2 linked regions of the Drosophila melanogaster genome follow. The protein of the gene in region 2 interacts with the protein of the main gene of each other region in a biochemical or structural test. Each region holds a gene or a part of one and is shown on either strand. Other genes may lie near its edges.

Region 1 (6,802 bases), on a different chromosome or scaffold from region 2:
TTTGTTTTTGCGGCTGCGGTTGGAATAAGAGAGAGAAAAAGAGAGAGAATAATCAGAAATGCAATTGCAAGCAACCTTGAGATACTTTTGTTATCGTTATCGCGGGTTAAACGGTCACTGCATTTGCCAGTTGAACGAACTTTAACCGCATCTCTCGCGTTGAGTGCGTTTCGTTTGAGTGGATTTTGCTCTCTTCTCTATCGACAGGGTTGACACCTAACATTTTTAAAAGAAACAATCATGGTCGGAAGAAGAAGAGAAATTATATTTATAAATGCGAAAGCACGTTGGTTTTGAAACGTCCTGCACTCAAAAATAATCGATAAGTCACTCAAAAATAAAGTTTATGAGCGAACACACGCATTGAAAAAGCATGTAGGCAACTAATACAGACGCAGAAAAATTAAAATTCCAAAAATAACTCATGGCGACGAATAGAAACGCAAAGCGAGTGACGAAAAAAGGGCCACCAGGCGTCGAAAGTGAAATGCGTACCCTACTATTACGAAATTCGTAGGAGCTTATTGGTTTCAGTATACGCTTTAAAACTATTTAATACTTTTTTATGTCTTTCTCTCTATTGCTAAATCAAAGTTTGTTTTTAATTTTTATTAAACATGGTTTCTTTATTTTTTAATTATCAAATTATTAGCAATTACATACATAAACGTAGATGTACTTAAAATTTAGTTGTATTCATCAGTTTTTGTATAATAGTCTGTGTGGGCGTTGCATTTGTTTGGCCGGCGTAAAACGCGACCACGCCCACCCATAAAAAATGCGACGGATCGCTGAGCCGCTACGTGTACTTCCATTTTCTTTCGTTTTTCTTCTTTGTTGCTTTTGTAATTGTTGTACATTTGTGTTGTTGCTGTTAATGCTGTTGTTGTTGTTGCTGTTCTTATTGTTGCTCGTCCGGTAAAATGTCTGCAGGAAGCTCAAGAACCGGTCTAAACCGGGAGAAAGCCGTTTTGGTGGATCGTAAACCCTATGGCCATGGCTAAAAATATATATTGCTGGCTGGTTGTCACTTCCGTAGGCATGAGTCTATATATATAATGTATGTATGTATATGTATGTATAATGTATAATGTATTTTATGTTGATTGTACAAAAAATACTTAAATAAATATGTCTGTTGTCAGGAGCGTTTGTTTTCTTTAGTTAATCCTCTTGACCTGTATCTTATAAATCACTCACTACGTGCTCGTTGTTTTTTTTTTGTTGTTGTTTGCTGACGTCGACTGGTTTATCTGGGATATAGCTTAAAAACTAATTTACTAAATATGTAGGTGGAGCGTAAGTACATCGAAAATATTGTTTTTCTTGCAATATTTTCAAAGTTCTTGCCGCCGCGAATACAAGAAGTGAACGTCTTACGTAAATTCTATGTGGCATAAAAAAGAGGCAACATGCCTCTCCAGTTTATACCAAATAAAGTTTACAATAGATTAGTTAACGCGGAAATACAAAAACATCGAAACAATAAACTATAGAATTTGTTAAGAAAGGGAAAACGAAAGTGTACAAACGAAACGAAGATTCAGGATGTCTTCTACACAAATGTTTTTGATTAAATAATTGGCGCTGCGGCCACAAAAAATAACTTAGCTGAATAATAAATCTCTGTACCTCGGTGTGTGTGTTTTTGGGTTCTAAATTATGATCTTCGTGTGTGCTTATTTTGTTTGTCTTGTTCAGCAAAGAGGAAAGAGTTGTGTTGTGCTGCGTTTGATTTTACATAATGGCGCACTTCTCGTTTGACTGCTGAGGATCGCCCTGCTGGTGGTAGAGCTGCTCATTGCCGTCCACGGCGGTCACGCTGCGACGACGACTCAGCCGGGAGGAGGATGTGTGTTGGGACACAATGCGCTTGATGCGATCCAGATTGGCCACGGCCTCGCCCTCGGAGTTCAGCAAAATCGTCCTAGTGTTGTCGGCGGAGACCCACTTCTGTGACTTCATCACAAGGCTCGATGGCGGCTCGTGCGAGGCCTTGGTGTCCGCCGACCAAACGGTGATCACGCCATTTGGCTCGATCCTCACCGATCGATGGAACTTGTAAGTGGTCGAAGGACCTTTCTCGTTGATTAGCCGCTGCAGCTGCCAGCCACCGATGGCCACCTCCTCGCTGCCCTTGTTGAACAGCCTTACGAACTTGCCCTCGGGATCGATCTCCTTGATCTCCACGTTGCCCTTGGCACTGGCGGACACATAGTAATCGGCGACGCTGTGATCCTCCGACTCGTCGACCACGGCGCGTTTGCGCTTCACGGCAGCAGAGGGAGTGCGACGCGATGGCGTGGCTCGCGTGGAGTTGCGCAGCGACTGGCTAAAGGACTGCACTGTGGCCGTGTTGGTGGCTGGGGTGATGTTCAAACGAGCCTCCTCGCCCACCAGCAGCTTGTCGTATGCGGCGATTTCCAAATCCAGGGAGACCTAAGCAGGATAATTAGATTTATGTATTAATACGTACACGATTTTAGACAAGTATTAAAGCTAACCTTGATGTCCATAAGGTCCTGGTACTCCTTGAGCTGTTGCGTCATCTCTTCGCGCAGCCGAATGAGCTCCTTCTCGAGAAGGTCTATCTCTTGACCGTGGCGTTCGCGATCGTTGTCCAGCTGGCGCTCCAGATCACGGATCCGCGCATTGAGGTCGGCATTGGCTTGCTCCAGTTCGTTGATATTGGCGTTGAGCGCATCGATACGCACACGAGTGGAGCGCAGCTCCTCGATGGACTTGTGCGTGGAATTGGATGTGCGTGCGGCGGCCTCTTGCAGTCGTTGGATCTTGTCCTCGTAGAGGGACTGGATTTCATCGCGATTAATCTGCATCTGCTCCTCGTACTGGGCGCGCAGCTCCTGCAGCGACTGCTTCAACTTGGCATCGTACTCGGAGCTGAGGCGACCGTCGATCTCGCTATACTCTGTCTGTTTGATGCGGCGCGACTCATTGATCTCCTGCGAATGGATCTGATCCTTGAACGAGAGCTCCTCGCGCAGACTCTGAATGGTGTTCTCCAGGTCAACGCGCGACAGTGTCTCCTGTTCCAGGTTCTTCCGCGTTTCCTCGAACTGCTTACGCAGTCTCTCCAGCTCCTTTAGCGCCTCATTCAGGTCTTCGTTAAGCTTCTTCCGATCGGCGTTGGCCTGGTTGTATTTGTTGTTCAGCTCGTTGGCGCGCGACTCGTACATGCGGACATTGCCTGCGGGTTGGGATAATCAATCAATTAATGTTCGTTAAATGCCAGAATAGGGATGATTTTGTCACAGAAAGTGAGGAATATCATGGGATAATCATTATATACAGTTCAGCAACTAAATGAATGTTTCGTTCTTGCTTGAAACCACGCCTTTTGTCTCTTCTTACTTTTAATTTTATCATTACTCTACTTTCTTTGCCCTACAATTATAAGGTTTTCTTATCGATTCAGTTTCCACGCACTTACCCTCAGCAGTGGTGCACTCCTTGGTCTTCTTGTCCAGCTTGTTCTTGAGCTCCTCGTTCTCCTCCCAGAGACGCTTGATATCGATCTCGGCACGAGCGCGATCCCTAGCTGTGTCATCGAGCAGACGGCGCGTCTCCAGCAGCTCGGCCTCGAAGATGTTCTTGATGTTGGTGGTCTCGCGTGTGACCGTGTCCCTGGTGGTCTGCACCTCGATGGTGAGGCGGGAGTTCTCCGTCTCCAGGTTGCGCACCCGGTCAATGTAGGTGGCCAGGCGATCGTTCAGGTTCTGCAGCTCCACCTTCTCGGCCACGCGCGAGTGCCGGGTGGGGCTGAGGGGGCTGGAGGCCGTCTGCGAGTGAGTGGACGGCGGCGGCGGCTGCGGACCCGCCGATGGCGGCCGGGGGGTGGAGGTGTTGCCGGGCTGCGGCGTGGCGGTGCCAGCACGTCGGGATTTGCTCGACATGTTCACGCTGCAAGACAAATGAAATGTGCAGAATAACACGTGAGATTTTTGTGACTGACCTCTTTAGGACACAACACTTGAAGAAAAGTTGAATAACACAATTGCGTGCCTTCTAAACGCGTTTTATATGCAATACTTATATTTGAACTTTTTCGTTCGGTGTAGGGTATGTTATTTTTGCGCCCTGATAAAATTCCAAACAGAACCGAACACGAAAGAGGGGAAACGCACAAAACGCTCAAAAACAGAAGCTAAACGAGTTTCTCTAACGCGCTCTCTCTCTCTCTCGCAGTCTCCTCTACGTCTCACTCACACACACGCACATCGCTTTCCACTCAAGCGACTGTACTAAAGCGGACGAGGAAAACGAAGTGAGTTTGTCGGCGTTTGTTTATGGGCGTGGAGGCAAATGGCGCGGCTAATACTAGTTTAATCAATCGCAACGCTTAGCTAATCCAGTCGACGCACTTTAAACGATTTGATAAGGAGCCAAAAATTGCACAATATGGCGATTTTAATTCAATATTTACAGCGACTTTACACTAATACAGGCAGGGGGGTTATTTCGATTTTGAGTGAAACAGTGCCGCCTCTATTGTTCGGCACTTAATCAGTTATTTCAACTTTTTCTACAAGTTTTCCTAATGCTCGTAGATAGCAGCGCAACTCACCTGACTTTTTATAACGAACGGAAAATGCACAAATTTGAAAATGAAGTATCTTGCAGCAGGAAAACGCGGCCGACGCTGGAACGTGTAATCGAATTTGTTGCGATGGTTTCAGAGACTAATCGATAACTTTCCGGCATGCCTGGTGTGACCAAACGCCGCGCTAGATAAAAGACTAAGAACCGCTTGACCCCAAAATGATAAAAAAAAAATTAAATTTAAGCTCAACAAGCCATTTTAATTTAAAGCGTTAGAAGGCATATATTTTATAAAAACTTTTTAGTTGAAGCTTACAAATGGATTTGTTGTGCACAACTATCGATAACTTAACGATATCACCCGGCTCAGCTCGCATGAGTTCTTAAACGTACTTCGGTCACACTGCTCTGCGCTGTTTTTTCCTCCGCATCACGTTAAAGATTTTAAAATAGTTAATTTCACTTTAAAAGCTGTATTTTAAAGTGATAAACGTGCACAAAAGGTGAGTTTGACACTGAAAATCACACTGCACTAAATAAAATCGTCGCTTGTAATGGGTATTTCGTTTTATTTCGAAATACATGTAATGCGGTGCGGTGAAAAAACAAAATGGCGGAGGGAACGCCGGCACCGGTTCCGCAAAAAAAAGCGGCATTTTCTTTAACAAACACATGTAACTTATCTAGTCGCACCCATTTTATTTCCCAGCATTTAGTTGCGAATTTATAGCCGATAACTAGTTAAAGGTAAGAAAGCCGCAGAAATGGCCGACAATGACGATCTTTTGGACTACGAGGATGAGGAGCAGACCGAGACCACTGCGGTCGAAAACCAGGAGGCCCCCAAGAAGGATGTCAAGGGCACCTATGTGTCCATTCACAGTTCCGGCTTCCGCGATTTCCTCCTGAAACCGGAGATCCTGCGCGCCATCGTGGACTGCGGCTTCGAGCATCCCTCGGAGGGTGAGTACTTGCACTCCACCTGGAGTGACGAAAGGTACAGTCACTAACGATGCTCTCCGCTTGCAGTTCAGCACGAGTGCATTCCGCAGGCCGTACTGGGCATGGACATCCTCTGTCAGGCCAAGTCCGGCATGGGTAAGACCGCCGTCTTCGTTCTGGCCACGCTGCAGCAGCTGGAGCCGTCGGACAACAACACCTGCCACGTCCTGGTCATGTGCCACACCCGCGAGCTGGCCTTCCAGATCAGCAAGGAGTATGAGCGATTCTCCAAGTACATGCCCACAGTCAAGGTGAGTCTACGTTTTAATCCATTGTATATAATTCAACAAAAAGTTTGGTTCGACTATATAGTTACTATATATTAATTCGATATGTTTTCTATTTAGGTGGCTGTCTTCTTTGGCGGAATGGCTATTCAAAAGGACGAGGAGACCCTCAAGAGCGGCACCCCGCATATTGTGGTGGGCACCCCTGGCCGAATTCTCGCCCTCATTCGCAACAAGAAACTTAATCTGAAGCTTTTGAAGCACTTTGTGCTCGACGAGTGCGACAAGATGCTGGAGCAGCTGGGTAAGTTGACTAATAATCACCAAATGACGGACGTTTTACTAATAACCAAACCATTCTTTTAGATATGCGTCGTGACGTTCAAGAGATTTTCCGTAGCACGCCGCACGGCAAACAAGTGATGATGTTCTCTGCCACATTGAGCAAGGACATTCGTCCCGTTTGCAAAAAGTTCATGCAAGATGTAAATATCAACGTGTTCATAACCAAAATGCTCGTACTTCTCCACCTCGCATCCACCGCTATCACGACAATTAGTTATTATTTTGTTAATGCCACGCGATATCGAACATTCGATCTTGATCCCCTCCGTATAAGCCAACCACCATCTTGCAAATGGTTAAACGCGTACAACCAAACGTCCAGCGCTCTGTGAGCATAACTCGTATCGAAAAACTTAGTTAATGACTATCGGACACCATTTTCTAAATGGTTAATCGTGGAAATTGGCAACCGTTGCAAAAGCATAAACAAGCAGTAACCGCTGAATGAATCAATTGAAATCGCAAAAGATTTAACAATACCAACGCTAGCAAAAACCAATACCTAAATAAAACTACAAGCAAACAGCAAAGATCCCGCCGACTGGCCGATGAGACGAGTTGAATCAATCCAGAGCGAATGCGATGCGATAGGCCCGCTCATCTGTAATCCGCACACTTCTCAGAGCGATCATCGATCCTCGGGAGCAGTTCAGAGACTAGTTGATGAG
Region 2 (5,890 bases):
TTTTTTCACCCGCCATTTGCTTTCTTTTCTGACAGTTTCCGCGTCATTTTTCTATGGCATTGTGCACTGAAATAAATTTGTAATATAACATAATCACACATACTGTTGTGCATAAATTTTAATATATTATTAGAGATAATAAACTTCAATTATAATTTATTTGTTTTTAAAACAAACAATTCTATAATAAATATACTATGTTTTTTCCAGTGTATTGCGAGCAGGTCTTTTGGAGGTGCAAGCCCAGACTTCGTCATTATTTTGGCATTATGTGTGTGGGGTGGCAAATGGAATGGCGAAACGGATGAGGTCCACCAAGTTTCGGTGGCTCGCAAACATTCGTAAATGTCATTAACAGTTGTAAAGGCTGCGTGCCACGCCCACAGCCAAGAACTTTATGCGCTCCGTCCGGAAAAGCGGAACAGCGGTAGGTGGTGGGTGTTCGCTGGATGGAGCGGGTATTTTTACACAAAATTACTTCTTTTATTCGCTGACTGACATTCATCATCATCATCATCATCATCGGCCGCAGTTTGCTGGCCGCTCATAATTTGTATTTTGATTCAACTTGAAATCCACTTGGAGTGACCTTAAAGTCTGGCAAGTGCTAAGTGAAAATCGATTTATGGAGCTTATCAGGAATCAACTAACTGACTTGATGGAAACATACATAATAAACAGCTGTCCTTGTGCGTTTCTTCATAGCATAGAAACTATGTTTTTTTTTTATTTCATATTTAAATGTAAAAAGTACTATCTATATGCATACCACATAGATTACAAGTATTGATTATATAAGATGTCTAGATCTTAAGCGCATAAGTTCGTACAGCTAGATGGGTTTTTTAACTATAATTATGTGTGTGAAAATTCATTTTGTTTAATGTGCGTGTGTCGGCGAGTGTAAAATCAAATTTTGTTACTAAAAGTAATGGGCTGAAGGGGGGGGGGGGGCTGTATTGGTGGTCTAGAACAATATGAATTATGAATACGTATTATATATACAAATTCGAAACATAAAATAAAAACAAACTGAAATCAAAATAAAAATAAGAATGGCCACAGAAAATAGAAGGGTCAACTCCCGGCTTAGTAGACCCTGGGCAGGATGTAGCTGCGCACCTGGGTGCTGTAGCGCTGCCAGGAGGAGTGATAGCGCGCCTGATTCCGGGCGTTCGCTCGGGTGGCGCGATGGAGCAGGAGCAGGATGATCAGACTAAGACCCAGAACTGGTGGCCAGGCCGGACGCAGGGCCATGGGAGCAGCCAGGGCCAGCAGGGCCACGATGTCGCCTAGATAGTTGGGCTGGCGTACCCATCCCCACATTCCGCTGAGCAGCAGACGGCTTCCCTGATACGTGTGAATAGTTTCGATGTTGGCGAAGATCGGACTTTGCGAGTTCAATCGGTATTTGTACTTGTAGGCGCAACTGAATCGCTTGACCAGCAATCCCAGAGACAGCAGAGCAGCCACTGCCAGCGGAGCATACCAGCAGGAGATGGGTACACGCTGCTCGTAGAAATACTTGGTGACCGCCGTCAGCAGATATGGAGTGGCTGCGTAGCGCAGGAGCAGCAAACAGCCGTAGCCTTCGTGTTGCAGCTCAAAGGATGAGCTCAAGTGGTGCTCGAAAATAATGGCGTCCAATACGTAGAACAGCAAGCAGCTGGCCGAGAACAGGGTGGCAGGATCATAATTTACATTGTTCCAGTAGTATTTGGCCTGGTAGAGATAGCCCTCCTGTTCACCCAGCTGCGGCTTCTGGGGCCACACGAGCGTCTGGTAGATGTAGCAGGTGGCATAGATCAAGGTGGTCACCAGGGAGAGACGGTACTGAAACTGTTTCCAATCCACGCGTCCTAGCCACTTGGGATTGAGCTGTCTGCCCAGCGCGAAGTCCACCACAAAGCTGCCAGTCCTGCCATAATCATTGGTCAGCGTTTGGCGCAGCACATTGTACTTGGCGGTGTCCACCAGCCAGTAGCTCCAAGCAGCTGCCACAAAGGCGCCAACGAGTCCAAAGATGCAGAAACGCAGATAGTGACGCAGAACGAAGGTGACCACTGGATACTTCAGATACTCGGCCACTCCACTGGCAATCAAAAGCGTAAGCGAAACTGCTAGACAATTAAACTTGTAGGTCTCGCGGGTGAGATGAACCCTTCGTCCTGGTAGCAGTGCCACCAGCAGAAATACCACCACCTGATAGGCGGCAAAGGCACCCACCACTCGTGGCTGGAACACCTGGCGCGTTAGGTAGTTAACATCCAGTAGTATACCCAGATTGAGGTGCTTAAACTGACAGGCGTTTCTGGCCGTACAGCTCCATGTCAAATAGTAGACGGCGGTGGGCAGAAGTAGCAGGAACAGGAAGGCGCCTAGCCAACCGCCAAATTCTCTAGGAGCCTTCAACTGACGGCAGGATATTTCCGCCGGTGTGGCCGATTTACGGGTTACATTGAAACTACGGAACTGATCCTCCTCCAATTCATCCTCCTCATCAATATCCTCTTCACCCGTAGAGTAACTACGCTTGGAGGACTTCTCATCGTCGTAGACGGATCGGGACACACTCCTACTATAACGACTGCCCTCTTCGGTGTTTGTCACTGGTGTTCCAGCTAGATTTGAGATTGTCTTCGACACCGATCTGCGCAGTCGTTCGGTTATGCGTTTGCGAATGGAATCCGTGTCCACCTCGCCGTCTCCCTCGGCACGGATCTCGATGCGCTCCGTGGTTGTGGTGGTGCTGCTGGTAGTGGTACGGCTGAAGCTGTTGCCGCTGTTCACGGAGCTTGTGTTAAATGCTTTGTTCGGTGCGCCGCTGGATGTGTTGGTGGTCAATGTCATGGGCAGATTGCTGGTTGACAAACGAATAGGCGATGATACCTGTAATTTAAGATCATAAGTAAAGATGTAATAAGTGATAAAACAAAGTCAGAAACTATATAACCTTAGAAGAATATACAAAGGGACATGATTGTACAAAAATATGTGGGTACTCAAAACTGGGTTAAAGGTGTTTTGAGTACACTTATCAGATTCCCCTCTATTTTTGTAATCAGCAGTTTAGCTCAACAATTACAAATCCGTTATCTTAGCCCGGAATTTCCTTATGGTAGCATATGAGGGCAGAACTCTAAGCTGATAAGCAGGGCGGTGGGTGCTGCTTATCAGCTTCATAAAACACACAGAAACAGAAGCTCGAAATTTGTAATAAAGGTAGGACAGTTACAGTTAATTATGTAGTTTAATTGGTTGTAACGATCGAAATTAAATAGAACTAATATTTCGCTATGCTTTTATATTGAAAGCAATTGATTTCAAAATTCTAAACTGCTGATGGTTGGAATACTGATCAAATATAGCTAAGCACTTATCCACCGGCCAGCAAAACTGGTTTGTGCTGGAGAACTCACCTCGGAAACCTCTGGGATGGGTGTGCGTGCCTTGATGGCGGCCTTGATGGGCAGCGAGGAACCAGATCCCGATCCGGTCAGCGGACCCACCGACGACCTCGGCCGGCTGGAGCGACGGGTGCGCGGGCCAAGATCGGGCGAGGGCGGTGCGACGACCTTGTTGCGTGACGGGGAGGCACGTGTCCGGGTGGCGGGACCAGCGGTGGCGGTGGCGGTGGCGGTGGCACCCGCAGCTGTCACGGAGCCCGTACGTCGGGTCACCGGCAGGAGGCTGGGCTGCTTGGACTGGGCCAGAAGTGGACCGCTGGACACGTCTTCCGTGCGACGCGGGCGTCTCAGGCGTCGATCCATGGTGTATGAATTGCGGTCGAAAAAACGTGCTGCAAAATGGATATGATCAGTCGTTGTGCTCGGCGAGTGCTGCATGTTATTTATAGTTTACAAAATACACACAATCTATTAATGTACTTAAGTAACGCTGTGGTTTTCTCTAGTTTCTTTGCTTTCTTTATTTCTCTAATTTTCTGTATTTATTTGTGTTTGCGCGCCGAAAGGAAAAGCGACGTCGCTGCCGCAACTGTACATTCCGCAGGCAGCGACGCTGGCAGAACGCGCTCTCTCTCTTGCTCTCTTCCTCTTGGCTGGCAGTTTTTAAACGATGTTTAACTTAGCTTAAACAGCTTTTAACGCTTCACAACTTAGTAACTCACTTCTGATGGGATTTATTTGTAGTTTTTCACTTTATGGGGCTATTGAAACGCCGTAAATTCAGCATAAATCACTTGATAAAAAAGACGCGCGTCTAGTTGTCGGCGGATGAGAAAATTTTGTTGTAAAATGAGCGCGGCCCACTGCGTTGGTATTTTTCAGTGTTGGCTAACGCCGAACGGCGCCTAACAGCACGCAGCGTGTCGTTAACAGTGGTTTAGTGGGCACTTTAAGACAATTTAAAATGTATTCAAGGTTAATTATTTTAAAGTATTAAAAGTACTTGTACTTATTTTTACATTCCCTTAAACATTAATCGAACCATACCAATGCGCAAGTATTATAAATCGATAGAAAACTTTTTGGAGTATTTGATCTTTGCAAAGACTAACAGTACTCATTTTATTTACATATGTAGGTTATAAAGACCAAAGTTGTCGCTTAAATCGAGTTGTAAATTATTTGTTCAAGACAGAAGAATACCGCAAACTTTTCAAGAAACAAAAACATATTAATAAAATGAATCAAAACAACTGAAATAACTTCTTAAATACCTAGTTTTCTACTGATATTGAGGTAGATAATTAATTTGGCTAAAAAGGAGCTAGAGTGCCGGATCTGTAGAGTGGAAGTAGAGTGACTGTCATTCCTGGTATTATTTAGCACATTCTATATCAATCTCCTCACACACATAACAAAAGGCAGGAGAAAAATTGTAAATTATTACGGATTTCTCGGACATTTTTCTGTCATTTCCCGAGCAATGTAAGTAGAAAGCATTCGAAAAACCCAATACGCAACAAACACACGCACACAAGCCGGACGAAAATGTTGCGCTTGCCAAATTCTGGTTATTAATTTGTTATGAAAACGTCTCTCTCACGGCCGCCTTCTACCTAAAAAAAAAAAATTGGACAAACAACGAAAAACCAAAAGCAAGTGAGGCCCATTGGATCAGTTGAAAGGATTCCCCAGGACATCGCCATGGTGACCCCGCAATCGCCGACGCCCATGTTCAATGGATTGGACGATGATCTCTACAGCGACGCCAAATATGCCCACGAGATTAACGACAAGATGCGGGTTCCCAAAAGAATAAAGGCCACCGGGGAGTATTCCAACGAGGATCTGCTGCTGTCCAACCAGAACGGGATGATCAGCTCCTGGAACTATCACGACAAGATCGACATGAATGTACCGGATCGAATTGTGGTCCTGGGCCACAATCAGCATCTGGAGACGCGATCTGCTCCGCGGGAAATCCAGCTGGAGAACTCCATTCTGCCCAAGAACCCATCGGTCGGATTGGTGCGCGTCCAGACGCCACCGCGCATTATCACCCTCACCGATCAACACTTTCCCTCGGCCTCCGAGGAGAGCTCGCCCATCCGGGCCAATGGTCATCATTTGTATGGTAATGATCTCGACGAGGACGCCGACGATGAGGAGGTCCATGCCACCCAATATGTGCGTGCCAATGGAGTCGCCCGTATGGGATTTCAAGGCAATGACACCAATTCCGTTGAATCGGACTCGCAGGTGAGTAAAATATGCCATACAAGCAACAATTTTCCTTTAGTTTTTCAATTCAATTGCAAGTGCTTGTAAATTAAATCGATGGGCAGAATGAGCAACTCTGTGATTTCTGTTAAAGAGCACTTCATTTGATGGAAGTCTAGACCCTAGCGATCCACACATGACGCAATAAAACAACCAAAATTGTTAATAGATAATAGATAGATAGCGATCACACTGCGCTTGCC

The links.
Region 1: the proteins of LBR (region 2) and Lam form a complex in vitro, tested with the Drosophila melanogaster proteins (one study listed by BioGRID).

Annotation. Positions count from the first base shown.
Region 1 is NT_033779.5:5,540,444-5,547,245, reverse strand, and holds Lam (lamin), read right to left. Parts: upstream 4,767-6,802; 5' UTR 4,586-4,766; intron 4,468-4,585; exon of another isoform or gene 3,922-4,467; 5' UTR 3,915-3,921; coding exon 3,452-3,914; intron 3,209-3,451; coding exon 2,505-3,208; intron 2,440-2,504; coding exon 1,738-2,439; 3' UTR 604-1,737; downstream 1-603. Other genes in the region: Hel25E (helicase at 25E), read left to right, coding at 5,325-5,523, 5,590-5,813, 5,910-6,093, 6,156-6,274. UniProt on the Drosophila melanogaster protein: Lamins are components of the nuclear lamina, a fibrous layer on the nucleoplasmic side of the inner nuclear membrane, which is thought to provide a framework for the nuclear envelope and may also interact with chromatin.
Region 2 is NT_033778.4:21,718,857-21,724,746, reverse strand, and holds LBR (lamin B receptor), read right to left. Parts: upstream 4,014-5,890; 5' UTR 3,846-4,013; coding exon 3,420-3,845; intron 2,890-3,419; coding exon 1,090-2,889; 3' UTR 692-1,089; downstream 1-691. Other genes in the region: Tango11 (transport and golgi organization 11), read left to right, coding at 5,112-5,666. UniProt on the Drosophila melanogaster protein: Anchors the lamina and the heterochromatin to the inner nuclear membrane.